Danio rerio: one gene and its partners. The main gene of each other region encodes a partner of the protein of the gene in region 2 in a complex. Links are inferred from orthologs where the notes say so. Each region holds a gene or a part of one and is shown on either strand. Other genes may lie near its edges. The genes, in order: mks1, ahi1, tmem216, cc2d2a and tmem107l.

Evidence for each region.
Region 1: ahi1 (region 2) and mks1 share a complex: the UniProt entries of both Homo sapiens proteins name them as parts of the tectonic-like complex. The link is inferred for Danio rerio from reciprocal best matches to the Homo sapiens genes AHI1 and MKS1.
Region 3: ahi1 (region 2) and tmem216 share a complex: the UniProt entries of both Homo sapiens proteins name them as parts of the tectonic-like complex. The link is inferred for Danio rerio from reciprocal best matches to the Homo sapiens genes AHI1 and TMEM216.
Region 4: ahi1 (region 2) and cc2d2a share a complex: the UniProt entries of both Homo sapiens proteins name them as parts of the tectonic-like complex. The link is inferred for Danio rerio from reciprocal best matches to the Homo sapiens genes AHI1 and CC2D2A.
Region 5: ahi1 (region 2) and tmem107l share a complex: the UniProt entries of both Homo sapiens proteins name them as parts of the tectonic-like complex. The link is inferred for Danio rerio from reciprocal best matches to the Homo sapiens genes AHI1 and TMEM107.

The regions. Positions count from the first base shown.
Region 1 is NC_133180.1:61,427,177-61,433,448, forward strand, and holds part of mks1 (tectonic-like complex member MKS1), read right to left. Parts: intron 5,769-6,272; coding exon 5,698-5,768; intron 5,628-5,697; coding exon 5,558-5,627; intron 5,459-5,557; coding exon 5,351-5,458; intron 3,425-5,350; coding exon 3,291-3,424; intron 3,197-3,290; coding exon 3,114-3,196; intron 3,033-3,113; coding exon 2,935-3,032; intron 1-2,934. UniProt on the Homo sapiens protein: Component of the tectonic-like complex, a complex localized at the transition zone of primary cilia and acting as a barrier that prevents diffusion of transmembrane proteins between the cilia and plasma membranes.
Region 2 is NC_133192.1:9,393,300-9,399,571, forward strand, and holds part of ahi1 (jouberin), read right to left. Parts: intron 2,972-6,272; coding exon 2,848-2,971; intron 2,758-2,847; coding exon 2,528-2,757; intron 2,443-2,527; coding exon 2,336-2,442; intron 1-2,335. UniProt on the Homo sapiens protein: Involved in vesicle trafficking and required for ciliogenesis, formation of primary non-motile cilium, and recruitment of RAB8A to the basal body of primary cilium.
Region 3 is NC_133189.1:29,306,827-29,311,994, forward strand, and holds the end of tmem216 (transmembrane protein 216), read right to left. Parts: intron 1,541-5,168; coding exon 1,339-1,540; intron 781-1,338; coding exon 765-780; 3' UTR 581-764; downstream 1-580. UniProt on the Homo sapiens protein: Part of the tectonic-like complex which is required for tissue-specific ciliogenesis and may regulate ciliary membrane composition.
Region 4 is NC_133198.1:2,300,212-2,306,483, reverse strand, and holds part of cc2d2a (coiled-coil and C2 domain-containing protein 2A), read right to left. Parts: intron 4,393-6,272; exon of another isoform or gene 4,310-4,392; coding exon 4,253-4,309; intron 2,738-4,252; coding exon 2,657-2,737; intron 2,083-2,656; coding exon 1,929-2,082; intron 1-1,928. UniProt on the Homo sapiens protein: Component of the tectonic-like complex, a complex localized at the transition zone of primary cilia and acting as a barrier that prevents diffusion of transmembrane proteins between the cilia and plasma membranes.
Region 5 is NC_133198.1:31,417,314-31,424,303, forward strand, and holds tmem107l (transmembrane protein 107 like), read right to left. Parts: upstream 4,731-6,990; 5' UTR 4,574-4,730; intron 4,451-4,573; 5' UTR 4,445-4,450; coding exon 4,358-4,444; intron 4,266-4,357; coding exon 4,198-4,265; intron 3,575-4,197; coding exon 3,474-3,574; intron 1,320-3,473; coding exon 1,223-1,319; intron 1,110-1,222; coding exon 1,040-1,109; 3' UTR 934-1,039; downstream 1-933. UniProt on the Homo sapiens protein: Plays a role in cilia formation and embryonic patterning. Requires for normal Sonic hedgehog (Shh) signaling in the neural tube and acts in combination with GLI2 and GLI3 to pattern ventral and intermediate neuronal cell types.

The DNA of each region.
Region 1 (6,272 bases), on a different chromosome or scaffold from region 2:
TGCTCCTTGTATCCTTTCATGAAATTTATCTCTGGCAATGATTTTGTTCATTTTGGGCATCACATATGCTTAATACTTGTAATAGCATGTTTGCAGTACCTTTGCTTCATCTGCCGTCAGCGCCCAGGTGTTGAATACTGTATATCTCTTCCTTTTTCTCCTATCCAAAGTATAAGTGAAATAACTGCACTTTTCGTCTTCTCTCCTTTTTTAAAGTGGAAACGCGAACATGAGCTCTGCATGCTGTCTGAATTTCCTGCATGCGTCGGGTAAATTTGACAATTCCCAGTTCATGTGCGGCGATGGTACTCCTGCTGAATCCATTTTAAAATTTAATTTTTCTTCTGACACCATGTCTTGTTCTGCGTTTAGTTTTATTTGTTGCAATGGGCATGCAGTACTTAAATGAGAAGACAGACAGGGAGTACCAACAACTTCCAATTTTAATCCACAACGTGTTTCCGTATTACAGGTTAACCATCACTAGTTAACTCCTCTACTAGTTGTAAATTAGCGTCAAATATTCAGTGCTTACGTGATTATTACACAGCATCGATAATATAGATTTTTTTAGTAAATAGAGCTATTCCACCTATCCTGCTTTATTGAGGTGAAGTTGGTTTTATATTCATGCGCCCCCTATATAGAAATAACATTGTACTCTAAATATTCAGTCTGAAATAGCGTGCGTATGGTTTAGTAATAATTGTAATTCCTGAATGCCGCTGGCAAACCACTAAGCATACAGTAGTCGCTTTAGGACAAAGCGTGTGAGTGAGTAAGACCAGCGATCCTTGCATATATGAAATATTTGCTTGCTACACAACAGAAAATGTGCTAGATATAATACAGTTTTTCATTCAGAATTGTAGTATTATAAAGTACTATAAAGTTTTCTAACTGGCGAATGACATGATCTAGTGGGTCTCTTTCATCTTTAATGTGCGAGTTCACAATTGCAGAAGGCGTGGCTTTGTATGGCAGGGGAGGGATTGTGTTTGGAAGATATAATACTAACCTGTTAGCATTTAGGTAGATCACCTACTGCACCTTTAAGCCACCCTGTGGCCCCGTTGAAGAAATTAGTCTAAGGTGAAACTCTTTTTCTTTAGCAATCAAACATACAATTTTTGTATGTCAATCAACAACCTATAAGATACCATCAGTTGCCAAGATAGGATGAAAAACATGCAAGACTTGCAACATGATGCAATAGTGCGGTGATACACAATTCATTTTATATAAAGTCAGGTAACACTTTATAATAACTATCCATTACAACTAGTTAATAGGCCATTAATAAACTGTTAGTTAATGGGTTATAAATGACTCGTTAAATAAAAGTTAATAGTTTGTTAATTATTTATAACTGTGCCTTATACATAGCCAATAGATAATTTACAATCTGTTAGCTAAAAAGTTATAAATGACTTGTTAACTGTATTTTAATGATTTATAACTATACCTAATAAAATAGTAATAGATCATGAACAAGCTGTTAGTAAATCACTTACTACAGACTTGTTAGGTATCAGTTAATAGTTTGTATATGTTATTGAGACATTATTCTAAAGTTGCAGCTATTCTTTATTTATTAACTGTTAGTAAATGAGGAATAGTTGCAACATTAGAATAACGTCCCAATAACATACTTAAGCTAATAACTAACACTTAACTAATATAATAAATCTCACTCTTCAGATCAATTGTTGAGATTCTTTACCATCTAATAACAACAGTGAAACTTCTGTCAAACTTTTCTAATAAAATATTTATTTATTTATTTTGTTTTCATGTTTAGCACAAAAAGTGCCCAAACCTTATGGGTTTGTATTCTGTTCTATACTGTTGTTATGCCATGTGATGGCTCAGTATGTGTGTTTCTATACATTAAACACAATGTTCAACATTTCATCTGTGGAGTTTCTTTGGTAAATTACAGCACACAGAAAAGCCTATGAGCGGAACAAGGTTACGGTACAAAAATGTTATATTTTAAACATCACATGAAATTTCTGTAGCTTCAACTTGTTCCATCCATTTGCTGTCAATGGTATTTGTAGATGGTTAAATTATGAACAACTGATCTGTAAAGTGAGAGTTAATATATTGGTTAAGTGTTAGTTATTAGCTTAGGTATGTTATTGGGAAGTTATTCTAAAGTTGCAACTATTCCTCATTTACTAACAGTTAATAAATGAAGAAGAGCTGCAACTTAAGAAAAACAACCCAATAACAAATAAAAACTATTAACTGATACTTAACAAGTCTTTAGTAAGTGATTTACTAACAGCTTGTTCATGATCTAATACAATTTTATTAGGTATAGTTATAAATCATTAAAATACACTTAACAAGTCATTTATAACTTGTTAACTAACAGCTTGTAAAATATCTATTGGCTATCTATAAGGCACAGTTATAAACAATTAACAAACTATTAACTTTTATTTAATAAGGCATTTATAACCCATTAACTAATAGTTAACAATGATCTGTTAACTAGTTATAATGGATAGTTATACTAAAGTGTTACCCCTAGAGAAACAGTATATAAAAATGACGTAACAGGGGTGTGGCTTTTTTTTCTACTGCGAGCTAAATGAATGTAGTAAAGTAGGTGTTTTATTCAGAAAGATTGGGAAAAGGGTTTGGGGAGAGTTATTACAACAGACTCCTCCTGCTTACTATTTCTGTTTGTTGTCAAAGCTGACAACTGGAGCAGCAGGGTTAAATATGTTAGCCACACTCAATTACTAAAATAGAAGTAATCTGACAATTTTTTTACAGACTTCAAATCAAATATTAGAAGGGCAATTTTTTTTTAATGACATGCAGAGATGTGAGCTAACAAAATCATATGGTTAATTTTGATTTAGTGGGAACTTTGAAAGCAATATTGACCCCAATTTAAGTTATTTAGATCTTTCTTACCCAAAACATTATAGACAGAGCCTTGCTGACTGTGGCCCCCCAACTGATCCAGAACAGTCTGTCTTCTCTTCTTCAGTGTGCTGGCATCAATAAAAGCCCTGAATATAGTACCAGAAGCTCTTATTCAATCTTAAAGAGACAATACAGTCATGCAAGATTCGCTGATGCTGTTGGCTGACCTGGCATGCTGGATACAATTAAGAGTAAAGGTCACACTTCCAGTGGTCTGAGTGCGAAAGCCAAAGCGACTCAATCTCTCTCCCTAAAGGCAGTAGATTAGAACATTCAATTGTTTAACTGAATTACTAAACATGCCATTACACAAATTTCACAGCAGAAAATGTATAATGATTGACCTTAAAAGTGCCAGGTATTCTGACGTAACTGATGTCCTCGAGTTCAGGAGCTCCACCAATGAAGAAGCGTCTCAGTTCTGCCACTGTGCCACGCTGGACTGCTCTCCATGTGCGGCAGGTCATTCTATGACGCCCTGAGAGCACAATAAAGCCACCACTGAACAAGCTGATATTCATTTTCTTTATTTTACAAATTAGATCTTTAGTTTAGATTTGTAAAACTGGAACCAAACGTGACAATAGCACATCCTTGTAATGATTAATTGATAAACCACAATATTAAACTGAATGAATAAATGATACAGTTCCATGGAAAACCCATTAGCCATTTAATTTGGATAGATTTTATACTCTAGGATAAAAGCAACATTTCAGATCTGACATAAAACTTATTTAATCAACAAATGCAATGCAATTTAAATTATAACAAAAACAAAGAGATGAAAAAATTTGGGCACTTCAACAGAATAATGAAATTAATATTTTGTAGAGCCACCTTTGGCTGAAAAAACAGCCTGTAAACGCTTCTTATAGCCAATGATAAGTCCCTAAAGTGTTGCTGGAAGCATTTTGGGGCATTCTTCCTTGTAAAATGTCTCCAGAACATCCAGGTTTGATAGGTGCCGAACATGAACAGCCTTTTTCAAATCAATCTAGATTTTCGATGATATTCAAGTCTGGGAACTGAGAAGTCTATTATAGAACACTGCATCGCGTCTGAGCATGAATTCCTTGGTAGATCTGGAACTGTGTTTCTGGTTATTGTCCTGCTGAAACATCCAATCCTACCGTAACTTTAGCTTCTTGACTGATTCTTGAACATTGTTCTTAAAAATCTGCTGATAGTGGGTGGCAATCATGCCACCTTCAACTTCAACCTTCAACGAGAAGGTTTCCAGTACCTGTGCCTGCCACACATCCACACAGAATGATGGACCCTCCACCAATTTTACCGTAGGGAGCAGGTTCTTCTCCTGGCATACTGTGTTTTTTTTTCCACCATGCCAAGCGTCCATGATTGTAGCATCTGTCCACTGTATATTTATACAAAACGATTCAGGCCAGTCTAGATGAGCCTTTGCATACCTCATATGACTGTGAATGACTGAGATGAACCGTGAAACGATGTACAGTGACATTAGCAGCAGTAAGACATTCCTGGAAATCTTTGGAGGTGATCTGTGGTTTGTTTGTGACCGTTCTAACTATTCTTTGCCTTTGAGATAATTTTCTTGGCCTACCCCATCTTTCCTTCACAAGATCTGTTCCTGTGGCCTTCCATTTACTTACTATATTTCTGACTGTGGAGACGTTAACACTTTTTGATAGCTTTTTGCATACTTCTCCTAAATCATGTCGAATTGTCTTAATTTTTAGGTCATTAGGAAGTTCTTTTGAGGTTCCTATGTTGCTTCTTTGTAGTTCCCAATAAGGAGAAGCACAACTAGCAATCAGCTATTTTAAATATCCTTTTTCATGATTGGCTGCATCTGTATTAGGATTGTCACTCAAATCAATTTTGTGTTGTAATCAATCAGCATTAAGTGACTTCAGGTTTTAAAATTCGCACAAAAGAGAGGGTGTCCTAACTTTTGCATAGTCTATTTTTCAGTTTCAATTAAATTTCATGCGTCTCAATACTGCTACACTACATATTTCTGTCTGAAAAACATGACATCATGTAGCTTTCTCTAGAAGCCAAATGGAAACCGATCTTCTCTTATAAAGAAAGAGCACATTACTATGCAGCCACAGAGGGGTGCCCAAACTTTTGCATACAATTGTAAATGCAAATTGCAAATTAGGACATTATTGTTATAGCACATTACAATTCTCAGAAAAATCTGTCCAACTTAGTGTTGAGGAAAAAAACTGTACTGAATAAAATTCACTGTAAATTATGTGAAAATAATTTTGATTATGTCAATCGTTCCTGTTTTGTCTTTGGTTATGACTCCTACTAGATTAATTTGAACTTAACTCCAATATACTGGCTAATGTTTACAGAGCCAATATGGAAAAAATGATAAAAAGCATAACAAAACAAAACACTCTCCTACCTGATGTTGAAGGGATGACCAAATAGCCATAGCCCTCAGTTCTAAAGCGCTGCCAGAAATCCAGTGAGAGAACTTTAAAATACAGCACTGGCCACTGTGGTAATGACCCTGCACACAACATCACAATGGACTGACATGTTAACCTTCAGGATTAAAATGTAATTTATGTAAAGTATCTTTGGATATCGCCATTATGAGGCATCTCACCATCAGACTCATCCTCTTTATGGAAGAAGGTCTCAAAGCTGAATGGATAGGAGAAGAAAGCGACATCTTCCTATAAAACAGTAAACATGCTTACCACAGTTCCAAACACACTGATGAAGTTTACTAAAATGACAACTCACCTTTTCTATACTGCGTGTGCGACATGTCTGAGTCACACCAGACAGACAATGAGAGGAAACACTGGACCAATCTGAAGAACATGAACCAACATTAACACCATGAAAAGTCAGAGAAAATGTATCAAACACTAATAAAATAACTAGCATTAGGCCAGTTAAGCTACACTTAAAAATGTCTTAATGTCAGGTCATTTAACAATCAAAATATGCCTTATTTTGAACTAGAGCCAATGACATTTCACTTATATCGCAGCCGTATCTGACAGCTTATGGCAGCTATGGTTCAACCATTTCTCATTCTTTCATGTAACTTAAAAAATGACCCTCTGTGTAGAATTCAGCCATTGTGCTTTTGTGTCTCAACATCAGAAAATAATGTATGGCAACTGTAGCAATTTGTACCAGTGGAAAGCATGTTTATGCTGTCCAAATAGACAATGCTGTATAAAGTGCACCATTATATATATATTATATATATTATATATATATATATATATATATATATATATATATATATATATATATATATATATATATATATATATATATATATATATAAATACACACAGTTGAAG
Region 2 (6,272 bases):
ATAGTTGTTTGATATTTAAAATTTTACAACAACAAGACAGGTTTCTCCATAATTGTCAATTTGATAATTTAAAAGTGTGAGAGTGTGTAATCTTAAAGTTACATTTTACCAAGTCAGTAAATGTGTGATTCCTTGTGTTTTTTTTTTTTCATTGCACTTTTGTCAGTTTATTCAATGTTCATGAACATACAAATAAAGCCTTTGATACACAAAAAGTAGAAAAGGGAATACAGGGAATCTAGTCATGTCAGGCAGTAGTCAATGAGGAGTCAAAGGAGGTCATTAACACAGTGCCAAAGATGTGTCCATATCTGCTAAAAGTCACTTGACTTCTAATCTGAATCGTTAGTAGGTTTCTTAAATAGAAGTAGTGTAAATATTTAAGACATCCACATTATGCAAGAAGGTTGATGCCCATAATAACAAACTGCATTTCTTTGCCGGATAAACTAAATTGAAAAACAGATGTTTATCATGAGAATTAAACATGAAATGATCTCTCCATTCCAACAGATAACCAAAAAAAATAATGGGAGATTAAAAAGGAAAAATATTTGTGGAGAAATGTTTCCTTGTGGGGTTTTTAACAATGATTACTACTTTTGTGTTTAAAAGATGTCTAATAGATGTCTAAATAAAAGCGTCTTTGCTAAAACAAGGCTATATTTGGGCTCTGTGCGAGTAAAAATCTAGTATAATAGCCAAAACTAGACTAGTCATCAAATACACTTCAATAAATAATTACACACACCAAGTGAGTATAATAAGTCTATTTGATCTCATTTTGGCCTATTCTTGAACATTTATTATTTATTTTCACTGACAGCCCAAATTTAGCCTTGTTTTAGCCAAAACATCCAAGCTAGATGTCTATTAGACGTCTATTGAACACAAAATTGCTTGGTGCGCAGCGTTTTAAAATATATTAATATAGTGTATTTCAACCCTCAGTTGATTTTTTTTAAAGGGACAGTTCACATAAGACATCATTTACTAATCCTCCACCTGAGCTTTGAGTTAGAGCTCTGCATTCCCGCGGCTGTCCTGCGGGCGCCGCAGGACCCGACCAGATTTCTACGGCGCGGGTATAAATTTCAGAATATATCACGGGAGCGGTCGGTAATGGGTTTAATTTGGGACTGGAGCGGGCTGTCTAGCAATATTCGCTCCCGACTCCCGAGTGAGCACGCGTATGTATGTGTGTAAATGAAATAGCGCGATGCTGTGTTTAGCTTGTTTGTTGCTGTGTGTGTGTGTGTGTGTGTGTGTGTGTGTGTGTGTGTGTGTGTGTGTATATGTATGCACACGCGCGAATGAGAGGTGTGTGTGTGTGCGTGCGTGCGTGCGTGCGTGCGTGCGTGCGTGCGTGCGTGCGTGCGTGTGTGCTTGGTGCTTATGTGTGTGTGTTAGTGGGCGCGCGCGCGAATGAGAGAGAGAAAGCTTTGTTTCTGTGTGTGTGCTTGGTGCTGTGCGTGTGTGTGTTTATACAGACAGCTTGTTATAGGCTGTCTGGACTGTATAACTGGGTGATTTTCGGTTTTGTTTTCCCCCCGCTCTTTAGCGGCATCGGGCGCAGCGGATAGAAAACGGGGCGGGGCGGGCAGCGAGACAACAAGTGCTTAATATAAGCGGGAGCGGGAGCGGGAGCGGTCGGGTTCGGGCTAAAACCTGGCGGATGCGGGCGGGAGCGGGATTCAAAATTTAGTCCCGCGCAGATCTCTACTTTGAGTTTCTTCTGTCTGTTAAACACTGTTATGATGAGAGAGAAAAACAGCCATCAACCTCTAGTATTTTTGTTTCTACTACACTGCAAAAAATGCTTTTCTTAGATTTTTTGTCTTATTTCTAGTCCAAATATCTAAAAGTTCTTATATCAAGAAGAATTTTCAAGGCAAGCAAAACATATTGTCTTGTTTTCAGAAATAATATGCCAATATTAAATGAGTTTTTCCTTAAAACAAGCAAAATAATCTAGTTTTTCCTTTTGACATAAGATTATTTTGCTTACTTTATTGGCAGATTATTTAAATTTTGGCATATTATATCTTAAAATAGGACAGTATGTTTTACTTGTCTAGAAAAATATGCTTGATTAAAGAGTTTTTAGATATTTGGACCAGAAATAAGACAAAAAATCTAAGTAAGAAAAGCATTTTTGCAGTGTATGAATGTCAATGGTTTCCAACATTCTTTAAAATATTTAGTTTTGTGTTCAACAGAAGATAGAAACTCATAAACGTTTACATTTGAACCAGTTGAGTGAGAGTAAATAGTCAGGAAATGTTCATCTTTTAAATGAATATTTAACTTCCATGCATTAATTGAAAACTGTTACCCTCTCAATGCTCCACTGACTGGTTGCTCCACGGCGAGACCCAGGCATAACTTTCGTTCCCCACACAATGATGAGTCCGGAATTATCAGCAGAAAACATTCTGCTCCCTGTGTAAAGACCAACACATCACTATAGTCTCATATCACAGCTTTAACATCCATTCAGTTATTAAACCACCAATTTCCTCTGTACCTTCAGGGTCAAAACACAGAGTGTTGATGAAAGTCTTGTGTCCGTCAAACTCTTGCAAAAGTTGACCATTCACATCTTGTACATCTACGTTCCAGACTCGCAGCACGCCATCGTAACCCCCCGTCGCCACCAGACTCTGGGCTTGAGGGTGGAACTTGGCACAGTACACGAATGAAGGGTGCGGAAGAGTTTTATGCGCAAGAGTCTGCAGACGTTCAACATTCCACACTCTGAAAGGGAAAAACATTGATATGTAATTATGAGGTACATATTATAATGAGGTGGTATTATGATCTTTTAAAACTGTCAAATGTTTTTACCTCACTGTTCCATCAGAGGATGCAGTTAACAGGCCTTTATCATCTCTGGACCAGCAGAGATCATAAACCACACTCAGATGGCCATTAAAAGATGACAGAACTTTCCCAGATGGAATCTCATATACTAAAAGTACAGACCAACACAACAAAAACATTAGGTGCATTACAAATTGCATACTTATGCACAATTCTAAGCTATTTTGTAGTATAAATCAGTGTTTCTCAACTGGTGGGTCACACCCAAAAGTCGCGGGAACATTTTTAGTGGGTCGCAGAGTGTGTGGTAAAAAAAAACAATTGTTGTGGGAACAACCGTACCGTTTGACATGTGAAATTTCATTTAATTATAGCAACAAATATATCGAAGCGCAAGTACGACCCCGAACATGTCAAGTATGGATTTACATATATGGACGACAAAAAAGGCTCAGTGTGCCATGTGTAGTGAGGAGCTCTCACAAGAGCACTTTTAGAAACCAAACATTTGTCGTTTTTACTGTGTAATATTTTCTGTAATTTAAATTTTTTATATTGTTAAATTACAATAATAAAATAGTGTTTATTTGTTAATCTTGGGGATTTTCTTATCATTTATCTGTCACTACTTGTATATGTTAACAAATAAATACAAATTAATTATAATTCCCAAAATTATATTTTAGTTCCTAAAATTTTGGGTCGAGATTTGATGACCATGTAAAAATGTGGGTCCCATGGCCAAACCAGTTGAAAACCACCGGTATAAATAGTGCACTAAAAGAATAAGTGCACTTTAAATACCTGGATAAAAGACTTATTCAACCGTTAAACAGAAGTGTGAAATGTTGAATACTTCAAGCACTCAACGGTCACATTGCAGAAGGGGAGGAGCTATTAGGCACTAAGGTTGGATTTCATTATTTATTTTGGATTGTGCAAGCAAAATTCTCCTATGTAAGTGATTACATTCCCAATGGTGAATGCTGTTATACTCATGACTGGTACTATTTGGTAGTTTGATCATTTGTTTCACTATTTGGCAGCTGTTAAACGTTGTCTGGGAAATGGTTTGTATTTCTGTCTAGTAAAAACATTAGTGTCTATTTAGAACGACACTAAACCCATTTCTACACTACATGGTTGAGTGTATAAGTCCATAGTGTGCCAATTGAAGTGCAACTATTGTAAATATGGTATGTTCAGAGCAATTGTTAACTGTAATGATTAGTTGACACCGGTCCAACTGCTCGTTAACGCAAATTTCTAATCAGCCAATCACATAGTAGCAACTCAATGCATTTAGGCATGTAGACATGATCAAGCTGATCGGCTGCAGTTCAAACTGAGCATTAGAATGGGGAGGAAAGGTGATTTAAGTGACTTTGAACGTGGCATGGTTGTTGGTGCCAGATGGGCTGGTCTGAAACTAATGATGGAGAAATGAAGCTTTCTGAACCAGTGAAGCGCTCGACTCAAATGTATCGGAAAAAGGTTTGTTACACGAAGCTTTCTAAATCAGAGCTGGATGAGGACCTCTGCTGGTTAAAGTGTAGGAAAGCACTGTTTTGTAATAATGTCAAATGTTCACAACTGACCAACTCATTCATGTAGTAATACAATAACAGTAATATAAACAAATTACTCAATTACTGTAGTTTTTTACACATAAGGTATTTTACATTACACCACCGATGACTGTAGTAAAATCCCAGGTATTCAAAAGCATTTACACTTCTCATATTTCAACTAGTCTTATTCCAAGCGGGGATCAAACCAGCGGTTCCTGCATGGTAGGCGAATGCTCTAAGGAGGAAGCTAGAAGAGGGATGCATTCAGGCTGCACTCGCCAGCTGGTCTCCATTAAACAGTATACTACGATATGCAGGGGTTTTCTTTAAAGGGCCATGAAACCCCCTCGTTTCAGCAGTGTGTTTTCACACCTCTACTTTGGAAAAAGTCAGAAAAGTGGGCGTGTCCAGCTCTGTTTAGGGGGGAGTGTCGGAGGAAGAAAAGCGGCTTGGTGTGGGAGTGTCTATTTGGGCACGCTGAATTTCAGAGTCAAAACACACACCCACAGCAGACAATGTGACTGTGTTTACATGGACATCTGTAGTCGAATTATTTGCCAAATTATTAAATGGTGGACTTTAACTGCAGTTTGGCTCTTTCATTCAGGGAATTCATTAATGTCCCTCCCGACAAACGAGATATTTGATTCGAGGAACAGCTCTAAGCGTGTATTTTTCATGCAATGTTTGATACTGCACGGCGAATGAGAGAAAAAAAAACTCAGCATTTCCCGGAAACTTAGATGCACTCGGCAGGTAGTGTCAGAAAGCCGTGTGTGTTATTCCGGTCACAAAATCCAACACGAGGTTATAGTTTGGTTGTAACTGTTAGTGCTAACTATTGCACTCGGTGCAATAGTTTGTTTGATACGAATAAAATACGAACTGAATAAACAAAGAGCACTGGTCGCTCACTTACCAAATCTGTAGAGACAGGACAATCACCAGCAACTAGAGCCGCGTCTTTATTTAGAGAAGACTACAATCTCAGCGTTTGCAGATGAGAACAGCTCTCAGGTAAATAATAATCCTCCTTAGACACGTAAGTTGTTGTCGCGCGTCGCGTACACTGTTAATCCACATGTGAGTCTGCGCTCTCACAGAGAGAAAATGAAAACGAAACTTAACTGCAGCAAACTATAAAAGCAACACTTCACGCTTGTTTTGCCAACACAACGTGGCGTCTTTGCCGTCTACACTGTGACAGTAATGAATATTAATGAAGTTGCACAATAGAGCGCGCTGATTGGTTTGAACCAAGCCTTACTCATGCATTAATGCATCACACTGTAAGACGTAATAAGACTCACTCTGGCACAGACGCCCAGTCTGCACGCTGGAATACACGCTATTATGTCATGACCGTGACGCAGCTTCAAAAATTCGTTTCAAACAGGAAGTACGAATTTGCTTGAAATAACGCAAAAACAACCAATTTACACTTTTTAGTGAAATATAGGTGTCTTAATAGTGTTTTTAGCAGTGTGGTACACATATACGACTGTCAACAGCTCAAAAAATGTGTTTTGGTGTTTCGTGACCCTTTAAAGAACATTGTAAACAATACGCTAATACACTTCAGTGTGGTTCAAAACATTTTTTACTATAAATTACTATTGTATTATAGTTTAATTACTGGTGTGTGGGACCGGTACAGTACTTTAAAACTGTAGAAATGTATGTAATCAACTCCAAATCTCTCGCTATACACTTTACTAACACATTAGGGTGTTTAAACCTTTGAATCAAAATTCGAAGCAGTCACGTGGGTATAGGCGAAAATGAAGCTTCGGACGTCACTGATCACGTGATGATGGCAAAACGAATCAAGCTCCAGTACACTGCAAGATGCATCGTTTTTTTGATACATGCTTCAAA
Region 3 (5,168 bases), on a different chromosome or scaffold from region 2:
TAGGATTATGACATTTACCTGAGAGCAGTCGCAGCTAGAATACATAAGCGTTTGTTGACGCAATTAGAACATCTGGAAAATGAGCCATTTTAGGCCATATGGCGGCTATGTAATGCTTTAATTTTGTTGTAGCTTGTTATGTATATTCATGTAAGCTTTGCAAAGGTACAAAGCTAAGTCTCCAACAAAAGGGATTTCTTCTTCAAATAAATTCGGATGTATGCCAAGCTTGGGTCAAAGCTTTAAGATTCTGTGCATGGTATACTGTATCTTTTCCCAATATTCAGATTAATGGCTTTTTAAAACCAAAATAATGTCACTGTTTCCAAAAAATATATAATGAGTACAATTGTTGCTCAACAATGACAAAGAGATCTTCTTGAAAGTAATTATATAAACAGATGTTTTAAAATGTTAATAATATTAATTACTATTAATAATAAGTACTACAGTACTTCTGATTAACTAAAGTAGCCTTTGTTAATATGAGTCTCCTTTAAAAACATTCAATAATTGTATCCCAAATTTTTGATTGTGTGTGTGTGTGTTTGTGTGGTGTAACAAATGAATGACAAATCTGTTTCAATTTACTATTTAATAATGGCTATATTTCTATTTACATAAATACATTTACACTGTATACAATATCTACATAATAAAGGTACTTGTCAGCTTTATGTTTAATTGTAATTCTTGACAGTTCTCTATTCGAAAGGCTGCTGCTTATCCTTGTTATTGAGTGTTCATGTTTTCAGAAGATGGATTTAATAGATGTTGGCCCTGAAAGAAAAATCTGCATTTTAATATTGTTTATTTTACACAGCAAGTCGGTTACTGAATATCCACAAATATGTTCTATTAAGTTTCTAAATAAGTTTTCTCTCTCTCACACACACACACACACACACACACACACACACACACACACACACACACACACACACACAAACACACAAACACACACACATACACACACACACGCACGCACGCATGCACGCACGCACGCACGCACGCACGCAAATCCCAACTCTCCCAGGAAACTATATCCATTTAACATTTTCTAAATACTTAATTCCAAGTAATTTATGAGCCATTTTCCTCATGGGGCCCCCCCAAAAAATACTGGAATGTACTGGAATTGCTATATTACTTTGCTATATTTACTTTTGTATTTTTGATTAAATAAGCGCAGCCTTGGTGATCAGGATAAGCTTATTTTAAAACATTAAAAAAATACTGCCGACTCTCGGTATATTCATTCCATAGATATCATTATAATGTGTGTGTCTCCTAATGCTGAAACTATGGAATAAATATGCACAAAAAAACAACAGCTACCTGGAAAAAATTGAGATTGTCATCACTCCCAGAACCAGCTCGAAGCCATAAAAGCAGAGGAGCACAGCATTGAGGACAAACTCAAGGCGTAAAACGAAGGTCTGAAGCAGCAGGTAGTAAACACTCAACACTGCACATGGCACCAGAATAGCAACACTCACAAACAGAGCCAAAGAACGCTGACACAGGTTCCCCTTCCAGCCTGAAAGACAGATTTTACACACTATCACTACATTTGCAACATGGGGCAATGCACTTTCATCAATTACAACAGTACACAACAAAGAGGGCAGTTATCTCTATTATAATTCATTCATTCATTCATTTTCTTGCCGGCTTAGTCCAAGCGGAATGAACCGCCAACTTATCCAGAAAGTTTTTACACAGCGGATACCCTTCCAGCCGCAACCCATCTCTGGGAAATCTATTATAATTCTTTTTCTACAATCATGCACTTGTGAACACAGCAGGGTTAAACTCTATTAAGAGCTGAACAGAGAATGCGTATTAAAATCCAGTTCAGTCTAAGATTTAAAAATTGTATTTCAAGTGATATTAAACATTAGACAGGATATAAAATTGTAATTCAAATACAGAGTGTTATAAATGAGTGCTTAATTCTACACTGTAAAACCCAACAATCAACTTTATCAAATGAAATGAGTATAGCTAATTTAATTCTACTGACTTGAAAAGAGTTTTGATCTCAGTGTTGAAGGTAATGAGTTATTAAAATACCTTATTACTTCAACTTAAATGGAGTAGGTTCACAGTACTCATATAGATTACTAGTTTTTTTGTAATCGGTTTCCTCAAATGGTTTAAGTTGCCTTAACTTATTGGGTTTAACAGTAGTCAGTTGGTTTGAGTTCTCTTCATTTAATGGGTTTTACTGTGCTCAAATTGCTTCATTTACTAAAATGGATTATGTTCACAGTACTCATTAGGATTTTCTTTTAACTTAAATGGTTTGTTGCAATCGGTTTCCTCAAACAGTTTGAGTTACCTTAACTTTTTGGATTTAGAACTTATACGAACACATATACACACATATTTGGTTTGCTAATGGATTATTTGAACATAATGGATATTTATAATGAATTTAAAAAACTGCATGTGCTAAACAGAACTTTAAAAAATAAAGTTTGAAGCTGCTGTTTATGTATTAACAGGTTATTTGTGAAAACTTGTGTTTTTTGGGATTTTTTGATGAATAGACAAATAAGTAAAATAAATAAAAAAAAATGTATTTTTTGTAAAAATCTAATATTTTATATCACTTTAAACAATTCAGTGGATCCATGCTGATAATAATATTATTGCATCATAAAATAATTGCATTATTGTATCCCTGTCTTGTTAACAGTGACATTCAGTTGAAGTCAGAATTATTAAACCCCCTTTGAATTTTTTTTTTTTTATATATTTCCTAACTGATGTTTAACAGAGCAAAAAAAATTTCTTTTTTTAAAAAATTATTTTCAAAAAATATTCTTTCTTTTGGAGAAAGACTTATTTGTTTTATTTTGGCTAGAATAAAAACAGTTTTAAATTTTTTTTAATACAATTTTAGAGACAAAATTATTAGCCCCTTTAAGCTACATTTTTTTCCAATAGTCTACAGAACAAACCATCATTATACAATAATTTGCCTAATTACCCTATCCTCCCTAGTTAAACTAAAATGAACCTAGTTAAGCCTTTAAATGTCACTTTAAGCTGTATAGAAATGTATTGAAAAATATCCTAGTAAAATATTATTTACTGTCATCATGGCAAAGATTAAAATAAATCAGTTATTAGAGATGAGTTATTAAAACTATTAAGAAACGTGTTGAAAATTCTTCTCTCTATTAAAAAGAAATTGGGGAAAAATTAAACAGGGGGTCTAATAATTCAGGGGGGCTAATAATTCTGACTTCAACTGAATGTCTAATTAGGAAATAGTTAACAGTTAAAACAGTTAAAGTAGTTCTTTTGCAGCACAGTTTTTTTTAAGTTTATTTAAAATGGGAAGTTTCACTATATTGCTATTTTGTCATGTTTCAAAATAAAACTGTAAATGAAAGTGCCTGTGAAGGCGTACTGTAACAGCAGTGTCAAGAATATACATTTCTAATTCTTTCATTTATAATATTTTTCCTTATAGACACAGTAAGTCACAACAGACCATGATTATTTTGCAACAGATTTGAAGACTAATTCATCTGTTGTGGATTCCATTCTATTGCTTTAACCTGGAATAAAGTAAATTGCTTTTGTATTAAAACAGAAGCAATGGAGGTCAACAGTCATGTCCTGGAATTAAAAACCCCAATCATTTTATCCACAGGGAAATCAATTTTAAACAAAAGCTTATGAACCTTTGAAGACAGACCATTTATGAGCTCCGAGGTTGTTAATTGATTGTGTATGCTTCTGCTAAATCCATCTGTTCCCGTTAGCTCAACTTATTTATAAACAATTTTGTCTAATAGTGGAGAGTGATGCTGTACAGACAAATCTAACAATAAAATAGGTGAAATGGGCTAAACATGTCAGTGAAGTTAATTTAATTTTTAAAATACTAAATTTATATATTTATTTTTTTGCATATTTTAAAATGAAGTGAAACTATATTGTTTTTACAAATGATTTTTGAACATTTGATTTGAGTTATTTCTCTCAATAAAGCCATTACATGCACAGTATCAAAACATCTCTTTTATTTTGTTTATACTTATTTCCTTTGAATCAAAGTTGTAATATTATGTGTCGCCTGATAGCTGGTTGGATTGGGTTAAACCTTAGAGAACCAAACATAATGTTAAAAAAGCGTTTGCTATTTCTGCACAGAATTGGTAAAAATAGGTAAATATAATTCCATGGAATTATATTGAGATTATAGGTACCGAAAACTTTCATTAATTTATTTTCTTGTCGGCTTAGTTCCTTTATTAATCCGGGGTCGCCACAGCGGAATGAACCGCCAACTTATCCAGAAAGTTTTTACGCAGCGGATGCCCTTCCAGCCGCAACCCATCCCTGGGAAACACACAAACACTCATACACTACGGACAATTTAGCCTACTCAATTGACCTGTACCGCATGTCTTTGGACTGTGGGGGAAACCGGAGCACCCGGAGGAAACCCACGGGAAGGCAGGGAGAACATGCAAACTACACACAGAAACGCCAACTGAGCCGAGGCTCGAACCAGCGACCCAGCGACCTTCTTGCTGTGAGGCGGCAGCACTACCTACTGCGCCACTGCCTCGCCCTGTGTTGAAAACTTAACAAGTAAAGTTCAATATCTTAACTTTAAGATTTACAATGCGAATGCAATTAGAAGTACTCATTTTGTAAACAAAGCATGGCTGCAGCAATAAATCAACGTATTGTGGATTGATTCTTAGACTTTGAAATGGATCACTATTCAGTCTAGAATGGAATCTGATTTTTGAACAGCAGATGGCGCTTTAATCATACACTGAGCATGAAGATGAGCTATTGTGCTTCAGTCTTAATATAATATGGGATTAATATAAACACTGCTCACTATGAACACTAATTTATCTAAACATTTTCTTAAAATTATTAACTTTATTAATGATTCTTTTATGTTCAAATGGTTTGTGTAAGGATTGGAACAGTGTGGTTGTTTGGAAAGCATATAGAACCTTTTCGATAGAGAATCGATTTACAGGAGAATCGCAATGCATTCAGGAAATTTCTGAATCGATCCAAGAATCATTTCTTGATTCACAGTGCATTGATTTATTCTACTATCCCTAAAACTAAGCTGCGGTAGGCATCTCATATAATGCATCCACTAAAAGATGTTGAAAATT
Region 4 (6,272 bases), on a different chromosome or scaffold from region 2:
GCTCTGATTTTCTGGTTCTGGTCAGAATTCTGGCTGCAGCGTTCTGGATGAGCTGCAACTGTCTGACTGTCTTTTTAGGAAGACCAGTGAGGAGTCCATTACAGTAATCCAACCTGCTGCTGATAAAAGCATGAACAAGTTTCTCTAAATCTTCACTAGAAACAAAGCATCTGATTCTTGCTATGTTTTTGAGATGATAGTATGCTGATTTACTGACTGCTTTGACATGACTATTGAAACTCAGATCTGACTCCAGAGTCACACCAAGATTATTGACCTTATTTTTTGTCGTTTGACCTTCAGTGCCAAGGTACGCATTTACCTTGAGAACCTCATCTCTGTTCTCAAACGCAATGACTTCAGTTTTCTCTTTGTTTAACTGAAGAAAGTTTTGGCACATTCAATTGTTAATTTCATCAATGCATTGGCAGAAGGTGTCAATGGGGCTGTAGTCATTAGGCAGTAAGGCTAGGTAGATCTGAGTGTCATCAGCATAGCTGTGGTAGGAGATTTGGTTCTTTCTCATTATTTGGCTCAGAGGGAGCATGCAAAGGTTGAACAGGAGTTCATTTTTTGGAGTGTTCTTCTAATTTATCAATGTATATTTTTGCTGATGACACTCAGATCTACATAGCCTTACTGCCTAATAACTATAGCCCAGGCCCGGATTGGCTAATCGGGAGGACCGAGAGAATTCCCGGTGGGCCGGTCTGTTTTTTGGCCGTGAGGGCCGGTGTCCCTAGCTGCTTGCACTCTCAGCAGTCAGACTTTTTTCATCTATTTGTTTATTTGACCATAGCTTTACTCTTTTTATTCATTATTTTGCTGCAGCGCTGCTTTTTTAATTTATTTTCTCGCAGCCCTGTGAGCAAAATGCAGCCTGCAGGTTAACTAACGTTAATGATGATGATGTAATGTAACTATCGACCCCAAACCGCGGCACCTTAGTAAATATAAGAATTCTAATAATTATTATTAATGAATAATACACCTGCCCAATGAAAATCAGATGATTCACTACATTTATAATTCTGACATAACTTGATCAGAAATCTAAAAAGGGGAAAAAAAGATTGAGCTATCAAAAGAAAGTACTGCTGTGTCTTAAGGGTCACAAGTCATTACTTATTTTTTATTGCCACAGTTATAGCGCCATTGTGGTCCAGGAAAGCACGTTGCGTTTCAACGCTGCGGACCCGTGTTCGAGTCTCACCTGTAAAATTATTTTTTTTTCTTCATTTTTATTGTAAAGACATATTATACTGTTAGGGTTGTTGAACATTTGAATTTTTAAAGCAGCAGTTTTCTTGAAAAAGACGTGATAGTGAAATTAGAAACTGAATTGGAACCAGTCGTGAACTGAGGTGGGCCGGTTTGGCTTGAAACTCCAGGGCTGAAAATGAGTCCCACTCCGGCCCTGCTATAGCCCCACTGTCACCCTCAGCCAAATGCATTGATGAAGTGAACAGTTGAAAGTGCCAAAACTTTCTTTAGCTTTCTCTTTGTTTTACAGCTACAAGGTATTCAGACACCAAAACGGGCAGATTCTGGAGGATATAATAAATAATCTGATGGGTGTTTTGAGCTGAAACTTTACAGACACATTCTAGAGACAGCAAAGGCTTATCTTATATCTTGTAAAAGGGGTAAAATATGTGCCCTTTAAAAAAAATCGATTAAATAGGAAAAAATAAACATTCTTTGTTAAAGTTGTTTACTGTTTCGCTTTCACTAAACACAGTTTTTGAATGCAGTGCCCGTATTTTTGTTTTTACTTGCCAATAGTTTGCTTCACAACTTCACATTGGCCATTCTGGAGCTGGACTTAACAGCGGTCTACTCTGGTTGACTAGGGTTAAGACACCCTGATAGTGAAGTCTGCAATCTGTTGTGGTTCTATTGGTTCTGTTGTGGTTCTATTGTCTGACCTCTTGGCGATAGCTCTGTTGGAGTTCTAGCGTGTTGTCCGTCTGCTCCTCTGGTGTCCGGCACTGCTGTCAGCTCCTCGTCATCAGCAATACACTCCACCGCACTCTCCTTCAGCAGCTGGAGAAATAGAGAACAATCAAACTGATAGGAAGCCTGGAGTGATTTAAGATCAATCTCTGAGTGGTCTGATGTTTTTATTAACATTTTAAAGTACACATGAAATCAAAACTAAACATTTTGATTTTGTTAGCTTCCATTTCTAGTTTCGTGGTGACAATTAATCTGTGCATGTCAGTAAGAATAAACTTGTAATCTTTAATAGAAATCTGCAAATGCTCTTCTTGTTTATTGCCAGTTAAATTCTTAGATTAGGTCTGTCTGAGGCGGTGGGCGGGGCTAACACACTTAAACACGCCCCTCTAGCTGTCAGTTTAGACAACAAACAGAAATGGTGAGCAGGAGGAGTCTGTTAGGTTGTAATAACTCTCCCCAAACTCCCCATAACTCTGTAATAACTCTTCCCCATCATGAAATGCCTACTTTACTACAACCAATCAGCTCGTATTGACTACATTATTAATACGTATTAACTTTTCCTACCCATTAATTAATATATCAACAATAAAAATTAATTATTTATAATAATAATAATAATAATAATATTAATGAAATCATGTTATATTGGCAATCATATACTGTCAGTTGATAAAGTGAGCATAGTGCAAACCTTCTTCTTTTTCTTCATTCTCCTGGCCATCAATGAGTGTCTGAGTGTCTCACCAGGGTCCTCTTTTCCACCAGCCATGTCCTAAAATATCATAGTGAAGAACCTTACGGTATAAATATACATACAAAAACCTCCTTAAATGTTATTTTTATGTATATTTATGTATATATTTTTATATATCTATACTCTGTGACATTTTTGTAGGTTTGTAGTGAAAACGTCATAAAGAATAAGCTCGTATAATCTGATAGTAATGCAATTCAGTAAAATTAAAAGGATAGTTCACCCTAAAATAAAAATTCTGTCATCATTAACTCACCCTTTACTTCTTCCAAACCTGTTTGAGTTTCTTCATTCTGTTGAACACAAAAAGGAGACGTCTACTTTCATAGTTTTTTTTTTAATTCCTACTATGGGCTGCCTTTTTTCCCAGAATTCTTCAGTAAAGAATCTCAAACAGGCTTATAGAGTATATTGTGAGGAAATGTTCATTTTAAAGTGAACTATTCCTTTAAGTTTTAATTTAGCTGTTTCCTTTGTGTTTATGCACAGTTTTTCTTAAAAGTTAAATGCATAAAAATTAGATAATGTTATTTTAGGAGAACAAAAGAAAAAGTCCAAGTGAAAATAATTGAAAAAGCGGGTCATAATTGGTTAATTAGTCTATCAAAATACATCTGCAAAATATTTAAACAAAATCATTTTAAGATATATAAACACAAGTTTGTTTTAGGTCTTCTTAAGATCTCACAATACATTTGCATTTAGCAGATGCTTTTGTCCAAAGTGACTTAGAATTGAGGAGGCATTCAGTGATTCAACAAGAAGAGGCAATACACACAACAAGTGCTGATTATACATATGAACTGTTAGTGCTCAGAGAGTAAGTGCTAAGGAGGAGAGTGAGAAGATGCAGGTGGTCTGTCTAGCCCACTCACCTGTGTGAATCACACCATAACTAGTGTTTGTTCTGCTTTGTTTTTTGTTTAGAGATATGGATTGTGGATTGTGATTGTAGGAATGTGTCTGGTGTAAATGTGCAAAAGCGAGTGTCAAAGTGTCAAACAGCATGTTTTCTACAACTGGTTTGTCAAGCCCTCTTACCTGTGTGAGGTGCCATCATGGGATAGCTTAGTATCCATTGGATGTGCACTTCAGAAGCTCTCCAAAAGAACTAGCTTACCCAGGGATTTTTCACGTACTGTTTTTCCAATACAATGAATTCGGACATACTACTTGGCTCATGTACACTTTTACATACAATATAGTACTAGGGAGGTATGCAATTTCTGATGCAGCCTCTGTAGTGCACATGCAAAGGATACTACGCTGTCCCATGACGCCAGCCGAGATGCAGTACATTCAAATTACATTCATACTACATAGTTCATACTATTCTAGTGGTTGTTACGTGAATTCAAATTTAAATGTAGTACCTACTCGAGTAATAGGGTATTTTGGACGCAGCCACTAAGGCTACTAGCTACATGAAAGGCTCATTCGCTGAAAATCAGGACAGAATCCACACCAAAGCAAAGGCTAGCATGAATGTGTTAGTGCACTGCAGGAAGTAGAAAGGGTGAGCAGAGAACCAACCTCCACCGCAGTGTGTTCATTCTCCTTAGACACGTCCCAGTCTGACGGAACCAAAGCCTACAGCAGATCAGCAGACGTACATACAGCAGTTCATGCAGGTGCTCAGTGCTTTAACCCAAGCACTCGTGTAAAGCTAACGGCTAATACAACAAACATGTTGAGCAGCTTTGAAATACACACATGGATCAAAGTTAAAGGCCCCATGAAATTAAAATAACATTTTTAGATGTTAGTTTCAGCCTTTTTTTTTTTAAGAATGTTTATTAGATAGTGTGCTCCAAAACGATGATAAAATTTGCATTTAAATATAACACTGATATAAACATCCCAAGCTTGCAGTCACTTTTGCCCATATAGATCAACTATGTTTTTGTATGTTAACTCAAACTTCAGTTATTCATTAAATCTTCTGACCAATCAAATGCTCTCTAGTATCTGACATGCCCCGCCCCCTTCAAGACGCTTCTCATTTTGTGTTCGTTTAATGCGCTTGAGCTCAACCACTCACACTAGCAGAGCTGTGACAAAAAGAAAACGCTATTGGCTGTTTTTTAAAGGGGAGGAGCTACTCTATGTCCCGTTCTATTTTCATGTTTAAGTTGAGATTACGTCAAAAATCAAATACAATTATTAAAGCACTTCATGGGACCTTTACAAGAGGGGAAATGCACGTTTTAAAGATTACACTATGTCCATTTAAAGGAACAGTTCACCCGAAAATGAACATTTCCTCTTCCTTTACACACAGTCAAGACATTACAAACTTTTATGAGTTTCTTTCTTCTGTTGTACACAAAAGAAGATATTCAAAAGAATGATGGGGGAATAGCAGCCAATGACATCCATAGTAGAAATAAAACATATACAATAGAGGTTAATGGCTGTTGATTCTTCAGTATATCAACAGAAGAAACTTATACAGGTTTCAAACAAGTAAAGGAAGAGAAAATGTCATTTTTTTGTGTTAACTGTACCTTCAAAATAGTTTTTTTTATTTACTTTTTCTACTGAAACAATGACATTAGTACATTTTAACTATGACATACAGAAGACAGCACTAGTCATTGAGAGTAACAACAATTTACACTGCATGAAATCTTGTCAGGCATGTTCAGAAAATGACTCACTTTATGGCATATTAAATAACTATATAAGAATACAGTTCGACCCCAAACTTAAACCTTTAACTATACTTTGCCACTATCCTTTAGAACCACTAAGTTAGGTTCAACCCATTTGTCTGGTTTATTATAGTTTAAAAGTGTTTACTTCAACTTTACAACTTGACACCTAAACGTTATTGTCAATAACTGTGCATTATAGACTCACCGGACACTTTATTAGGTACACCTGTCCAACTGCTCGTTAATGCAAATTTCTAATTAGCCAATCACAAGGCAGCAACTCAATGCATTTAGGCACGTAGACATGGTCAAGACGATCTGCTGCAGTTCAAAGTGAGCATCAGAATGAGGAAGAAAGGGGATTAAAGTGACTGAACGAGGCATGGTTTTGGTGCCAGATGGTCTGATCTGAGTATTTCAGAAACTGCTCATATACTGGGATTTTCACGCACAACCATCTCTAGGGTTTACAGAAAACGGTCCGACAAAGAGGAAATATCCAGTGAGCGGCAGTTCTGTGGGCGCAAATGCCTTGTTGATGCCAGAGGTCAGAGGAGAATGGCCAGACTGGTTCCAGCTGATAGAAAGGCAGCAGTAACTCAAATAAGCACTCATTACAACCGAGCTCTGCAGAAGAGCATCTCTGAACACACAAAATGTCCAACCTTGAGGCGGATGGGCTACAGCAGCAGAAGACCACACCGGGTGCCGCTCCTGTCAGCTAAGAACAGGAAACTGAGGCTACAATTCACACAGACTCACCAAACTGGACAATAGAAGATTGGAGAAACGTTGCCTGCTCTGATGAGTCTCCATTTCTGCTGACACATTTGGATGCATAGAGATAAAGTTGGTTTTATATTCTCACATTCATTAATTAAACAGTCTCTATATTG
Region 5 (6,990 bases), on a different chromosome or scaffold from region 2:
CTATCGGTTTGGCTCATTTCTTGAAACAGGAATTACAGTCTGAAAACAACATGGACAAACCTTCAAACTACTTGGCAATTGTTCACAATTGAATTGATTTTCTTATTCATTTCATTCAATTGCAAATGTCTAAGTACATGTCTCGATGCCTAAGTATATCTTTCCAAATGATTAAGTACAGGTAGCCTACATTTAGCACAATTCCTAAGTGAATAGATCTAGTTGATCTAAACTGAATGTTGATTCTCAGTGTAAAGGTTGTTCTCTCTAAAACATGTCAGCATCCTTTCATTTGTTACAGCAATTGACAGTCAGGTGTAACTAGAACTTGACAGAGGAGTTTAACACATCTCAGATGACCAATCAAACAGTATGTTCAGCTTTTTTCACAGCACTGTAAGCTGAATATCATTTTTGGGAAAGATATGTGCTTTTGCAAGTGAGCTATAGTGTTGTGCTGAACTATGTTTTGCCAAATCTGACCTTAGAGTGTTGAGAATTTCTGTGTCCAGAATTAAGCCAAACCAATGGAGAAAAACTGTAAAATACAAAATGCCTTTAATCATCACAAGAGGTTTAACATATTTTCAACATTATAAAAATATCTGTATTTATAAAAGTTCAATAGCTTGACTTGTAAAGAGATAGTTCACCCAAAAAATAACAATTCTGCCATCAATTACACATCCTAACTTGTTCGAAACCTGTATGAACCTGTAACCATGAAATTCAATAATATTTGTTTATCCAACTATGGTTGACAATGATTACAGGTTTCCAATCTTCTTTAAAATATTTTCTTTTGTGTTCAAAGAACTAAAACGAGTTTATAGCAAGACAAGGGTGAGTAAATGACGGCAGAATTTTTATTTTTGGTTGAACTATCCTTTTAAGCCCTCACCCATAACAATTCAGCAACTCTCCAGAGAAGCGTTGTGGAAAAACAGGAGTTTATTGTGCCAGTGAGTGAATGCTATTCTGGTACATCGGTCATGGAAAGAAAACATCCAACTCTCCTAAAGCAAAAGGGCAGATACACTCACAAAGGCTTTCTCTTACATCCAAACACCACAACAACAATGACCATCTCATATAATGCTGGAATCACACTGAAATAGAGAAAGAAAACATGTTTCAAATACACCAAAGTTAAAGCGAATTCATTGAAAAGGGCATTCACAGTTAAAGTTATGCTTTGACTGTTAATCATTAAACGACTGACCTGCAGAAGGAAAAGATCCACCAGTAAATGCTGCAGGTCCATTGCTCAAACATGAAGAAAAGCAAAGCCACAGAGCCACTGCTGTGACATCCAATAGCTGAAAAGTGACGGTTAAATAAAATTCTGTGCCTGTATCATGATGCCTTTATTGTTAACAAACCAGACTTTTGCTGCCATTCTACCACTGGGATTGTCTATCATGTCTGTCTAATTGTATTGATTTGTACTGCTTTTAGTTTTGGAAAGCAATAGTAAAGATATCTTTGTTAGGTTTTATAATACGAGGCTATGTTAATTGTTAAACTTTTGTTTTTTCAAGGAAACCATATGGCTAAAGTTGTGGAGTCAATCTAGGGCCATATACTTGCAAAATAAAAGAACATTTTTAAAACAAAATTGAAAGTATTGAGCAAAAAATAAATGCAAATCTCTAAAAATCGCAAAGCAAAAGCTTTAATTATTCATTCTTTTTCTTGTCGGCTTAGTCCCTTTTTAATCCAGGGTTGCCATAGCAGAATGAACCGCCAACTTCCAGCCACAACCCATCTTTGTGAAACATCCACACACACATTCACACACTCACTCACTACGGACAATTTAGTCTACCCAATTCACATGTACCACATGCCTTTGGACTGTGGGGGAAACCGGAGCACCCACGCGAAGGCAGGGAAAACATGCAAACTCCACACAGAAACACCAACTGAGCCGAGGTTCGAACCAGCGACCCAGCGACCTTCTTGCTGTGAGGCGACAGCACTACCTACTGCGCCACTGCCTCGCCCAAGCAAAAACTTGTTTTTCAGAAATAAAAATAGTTTTTGCTAACAAAAATTTAAAAATTCAAAGGAAAATTTATTTTTGAAAAATAAAAATTACATTTGCAAACAAAAAAAGAACTGAAAAAAAAAATATATAAATATTTGCAAAACATTTTTAGCCTTGACCTAACCCATCCAGTCAACTGCAATGCTCATTTTGATTTGACAAAGGGGTGGAGTCAAGGGAACTTGGGCGTTTACGGCAGGCCTTAGGTAAACCTCTAAGTTCCCTTGACTCAGTCCCCTTGTCAAATCAGGGCCACAAAGTGAAAGGCGCAGAAACGTGAAGTACAAAGTGAAAACAGCATCACAAACTCACAGTTGACTAAAATCTAATTAAAATGACAATTGCAACTGACCGGGCAGGTTTTGTAAAAGCAATGCTATAAAAATGTTTTGCAAATATATATAGTTTTTTTTTGATTATTGCAAATCTTTTTGTTTTGTTTTTTTACTGCTTGATGTTTATTTGCAGTTCCTTTTTTGTTTAAATTTCATTTTTATTTCTCAATTTTCCCCTTTGCAGTTCTTTATTTTTGTTAGCAAAATGTATTTTTTATTTTTTTCATTTACATTTATTTATTTTTTGCTCAATACTTTATTTGTTGTTTGCAAAGTTTTATTTTATTTTGCACGTACAGTTGAAGTCCGAATTATTAGCCCCCCTTTGAATTATTATTTTTCCAAAAGGGTTTTTTCTTCTGGAGAAAGTCTTATTTGTTTTATTTCGGTTAGGATAAAAGCATTTTTTTTTTTAAACACCATTTTAAGGTCAAAATTATTGCTCTTTAAGCTATATATTGTTTCGATAGTCTACAGAACAAACCATGGTTATACAATAACTTGCCTAATTACCCTATCCTGCCTAGTTAAACCAGTTAACCTAGTTAAGCCTTTAAATGTCACTTTAAGCTGTATAGAAGTGTCTTAAAAAATATCTAGTCAAATATTATTTACTGTCATTATGGCAAAGCTAAAATAAATCAGTTATTAGAAATAAGTTATTAAAACTATTATGTTCAGAAATGTGTTGAAAAAAATCTACTTTCCGTTAAAAGAAATTGGGGAAAAAATAAACAGGGGGGTAATAATTCAAAAGGGCTAATAATTCTGACTTCAACTGTATATATGGCCCTAGATTGACTTTATATACCAGGTAGGTCTTGACCACATTACAGCTCCATATAATTTTTTACGACCCATGACTTCAGGTAATTTACTGTCAAAAATCTGAACAAAACAGAAGACTTTGGATGAGATGTGTAAGAAACTAGTACTAGACACACATATGGGAGCTGTTTGCGTTAATCATAAGTTGAAGATTTGACTCCGATCCATGAAAATATAAGAAAATAATACACAATTTATATGCATCAACACCTACAGTATATATATAACCTATAGTGGTGATGTGCTACTGGTAAGGATACACAGAAGAGCTTGGTTGTTGTTGAACATAGAGATTCCACAGAGAAACCCAACCAACTCGATGGCTAACAGGCCAAGAGTCACGGATAATGCCACCACAAGCCTGTATTCCAAAAACAATGGTTAGGACAGCGTCATGAACAGGACTTACTATATCTGACTCCATAACATTATTCACATCTACATATAAATAATGTACAATTTACTATCAGTCAAACAATAATATGCTGTAAATGGGTCAAACAAGAAAAGCCATCAAAAGATTTTAAAGTATTTTGTTTCATAAATTAAAAGGTACATTTAATTAACAATTAAAATACATTCTGTATTGCGGAATGAAAAAAAAAAAGACTATTTTAGTTGAAATCTTGCAGGTTGTAATTTCTTTTCTTTTTTGGATTATTTTGCTTGAATGTAATTGTAATATCTTTCAATTTCTAAATATGTTTGATGACTAAAATATTATTTGAATAAATATATCTGTTTAATAAATCTGTTTTGTTTCAAAGGGGTGTACTCATTTGCTGAGCACTGTGCATATATCATGCACTTGATGCTATCGCATTCCTAGGTATACCCCAACTGCATTTTGTTGCCTTGTACATGTATAATGACAATAAAGTTGAATCAAAAAATACTATTCAGTCTCACTACATGACCGAAATAATTATATTATCATTTAGCCACTGTGAAGCAATACAGAACAGAGAAAGTGTGTTTCCCAACCGTGTGTCCTCTGCTGTGTACTCTTCATTAGTGTAGTCGAGTGGTAGACAGGCTCGGACACTGTACTCCTGTAGGTCATTCCACATTTAAACACACAGCTGGCTGCAGTGATGTTGTGTGATATAAAAATAACAATTACACACACAAGAACACTTCTTACCCGAGACCAGAAAATGATTATCACTATTACAAGGTGCGCGATGAGAGTGAGGAAACGGGCAGGCACCAGACTGCTGACCACCGACATTGAACACTAGACAGAGAAGAAAGACATAATAACTTAGATTGAACTGTGCAAGTGGATGACTAACAGTTAAAGGTTTAACGTGTTCATCTTCACAAAACGTGAGGTTGTATATCAAAATGGTATACGTACCAGCTTTGCGTTAGTTGTTAAAACCTGATTTTTCAAATGGTGAGCAGTAAAGTAGATATAGCACTGTATATAAGGCTACTATGCGTATAAGTTTATCAAGCTTGAGGACAGTTATCGCTCGATATAAGCTTCGGGTTGCTACGACAACACTCTTCTTCTATTTGGCGAATGGGTTATGGTCAAAACAGACCAACAAGTAGCTCAATGCTGTCACCTGCTGGAAGGAGTCGCTTTCTGACTGGTCCTCAACTTGGTTTTACAATGTCTCAAAATGTTCATTCATTCATTTTCCTTCGGCTGAGAGCAGGTACTAAAGGTGAAATAACTTGAAAATGGTGAACTGGAACATGGCAGCGCAGACAAGTAGTAAGACAATTGGAAAAAATTTATTTCAAAGACTTCATTATTGTGGTCAATAGGGAGCACTATCAAGGTGTTCGAGGTGTCTTAAACAAGCCTTTTATTCAGTCATTCATTTTCCTTCAGCTTAGTCTCTTTATTTATCAGTGGTCGACACAGCGGAATGAACTGCCAACTTATCCAGCATATGTTTTACACAGCGGATGCCCTTCCAGCTGCAACCCAGCACTGGGAAAATCCATACACACTCATTCAAACTCATATACTATGGCCAATTTAGTTTATTCAATTCACCTATAGCACATGTCCTTGGACTGTGGGGGAAACCGGAGTACCCGGAGGAAACCCAAGCAAACACAGGGAAAAAAGCATCTGCAGAAATGTCAGCCGGGACTCGAACCAGCAACCTTCTTGCTGTGAAGCGACAGTGCTAATCTCGAAATGAAATGCATTTAAACAAACTAAGTTGTTTTTTGTTTTACGGTCTCATTTTTACAGTGTATCTATAGCATAAAGTACTGAGTGGCATTAATTAACGATATGGAGTACTTACTATGGTTATGGGTTTTTGCATGTGATTATGCATAATTTATTGGTATTATAGTAAGTGCATAAAACGTGTGTAATAAGAGCCCTATAAGTTAAAAGGATAGCTCACCCAAATATAAAAACGTGTTTGCTGTTTATTCAAGTGGTTGTAAATCTTTGTGAGTTTCTTTCTTCTGTTAAGCGATAAAGGCAATACTTTAAAGAAAGTTGGAAACCTGTAACTTCCATAGCATTTGTTTTTCCTATATGGATGTCAATGGTTGCAGGTTTTCAGCATTCACAAATCAACAAATAAATGAATCATTAGTTTTTACTGTAGCCTACAGCCAGACGTCGTTGGTCTAGTAAATAATAAATAAATACTAACTCAGTGGTTTGCTATCAAGGGCATTTGCTGTTCTGGAAGGCAGTAAAATATTAACCTTAGAGTTAAGAAATTGAGAATAGACAGTTTTAGGAAGACTTTTTTTTTTACATTGTGGTGACAACATTTGCCATTTTATTTGCAGGGTGTGATATATTTTTAATAAATCTGAAACCCAACAAACAAGGTTGGCACACCTTAGATACAAAACCATGAAGAAAAGAATTGTTTAATATATATATATATATTTATATATATATATATATATATATATATATATATATATATATATATATATATATATATATATATATATATATATATATATATATATATATATATATATATATATAAATAGTTTTAGCACATTTCTATACAATAGTTTTAGAAACCTATTTCTAATAACTGATTTATATTATCTTTGTCATGATGAGAATAAATAATATTTTACTTGATATTTTTCAAGACACTTCTGTACAGTTTAAAGTAACATTTAAAGGCTTAACTAGGTTAATAAAGTGAAATAGGCAGGGTAAGGTAATTAGGCAAGTCATTGTATAATGATGGTTTGTTCTGTAAACTATCGAAAAAAAAATTAGCTTAAAGGGGCTAATAATTTTGTCCCAAAATTGGGTTTTAAAAAATTAAAAACTGCTTTTATTCTAGCCAAAATAAAACAAATAAGACTTTCTCCAATTTCCTTGCTCTGTTAAACATCATTTGGGAAATATTTAAAAAAAAAGAAAAAAAAGGGGGGCTAATAATTATGACTTCAACTGTATGTATATATAATAATAAATAAATTATATTTCTGTACTTTAGGTGTTCTTATATAGGCTACCTAAAGCAGGGGTGCCCAAATGTTTTCTTACCAAGGGCCAAAAACCCAACTTGATTTACACTAGTTTTTGCCTTGGTTTGCTGACCGCTGTCTTCTGCGTAGTCCTCTATCTATCGAGTGACAGTATTTACATAAAAAAAATCAGACTCATTTAAAATAATTAATTGAAACATTTCCTTTCAGTATTCTTTTTGTATCTCAGCAATAAAACAAACAATTAAAGAAAATGTCAAACTAGAAATGATGGTCTCTTTCAAAGGTGTTCGCCCCTTCCCTCTATATCATTCTCACTCTCTTCTCAGA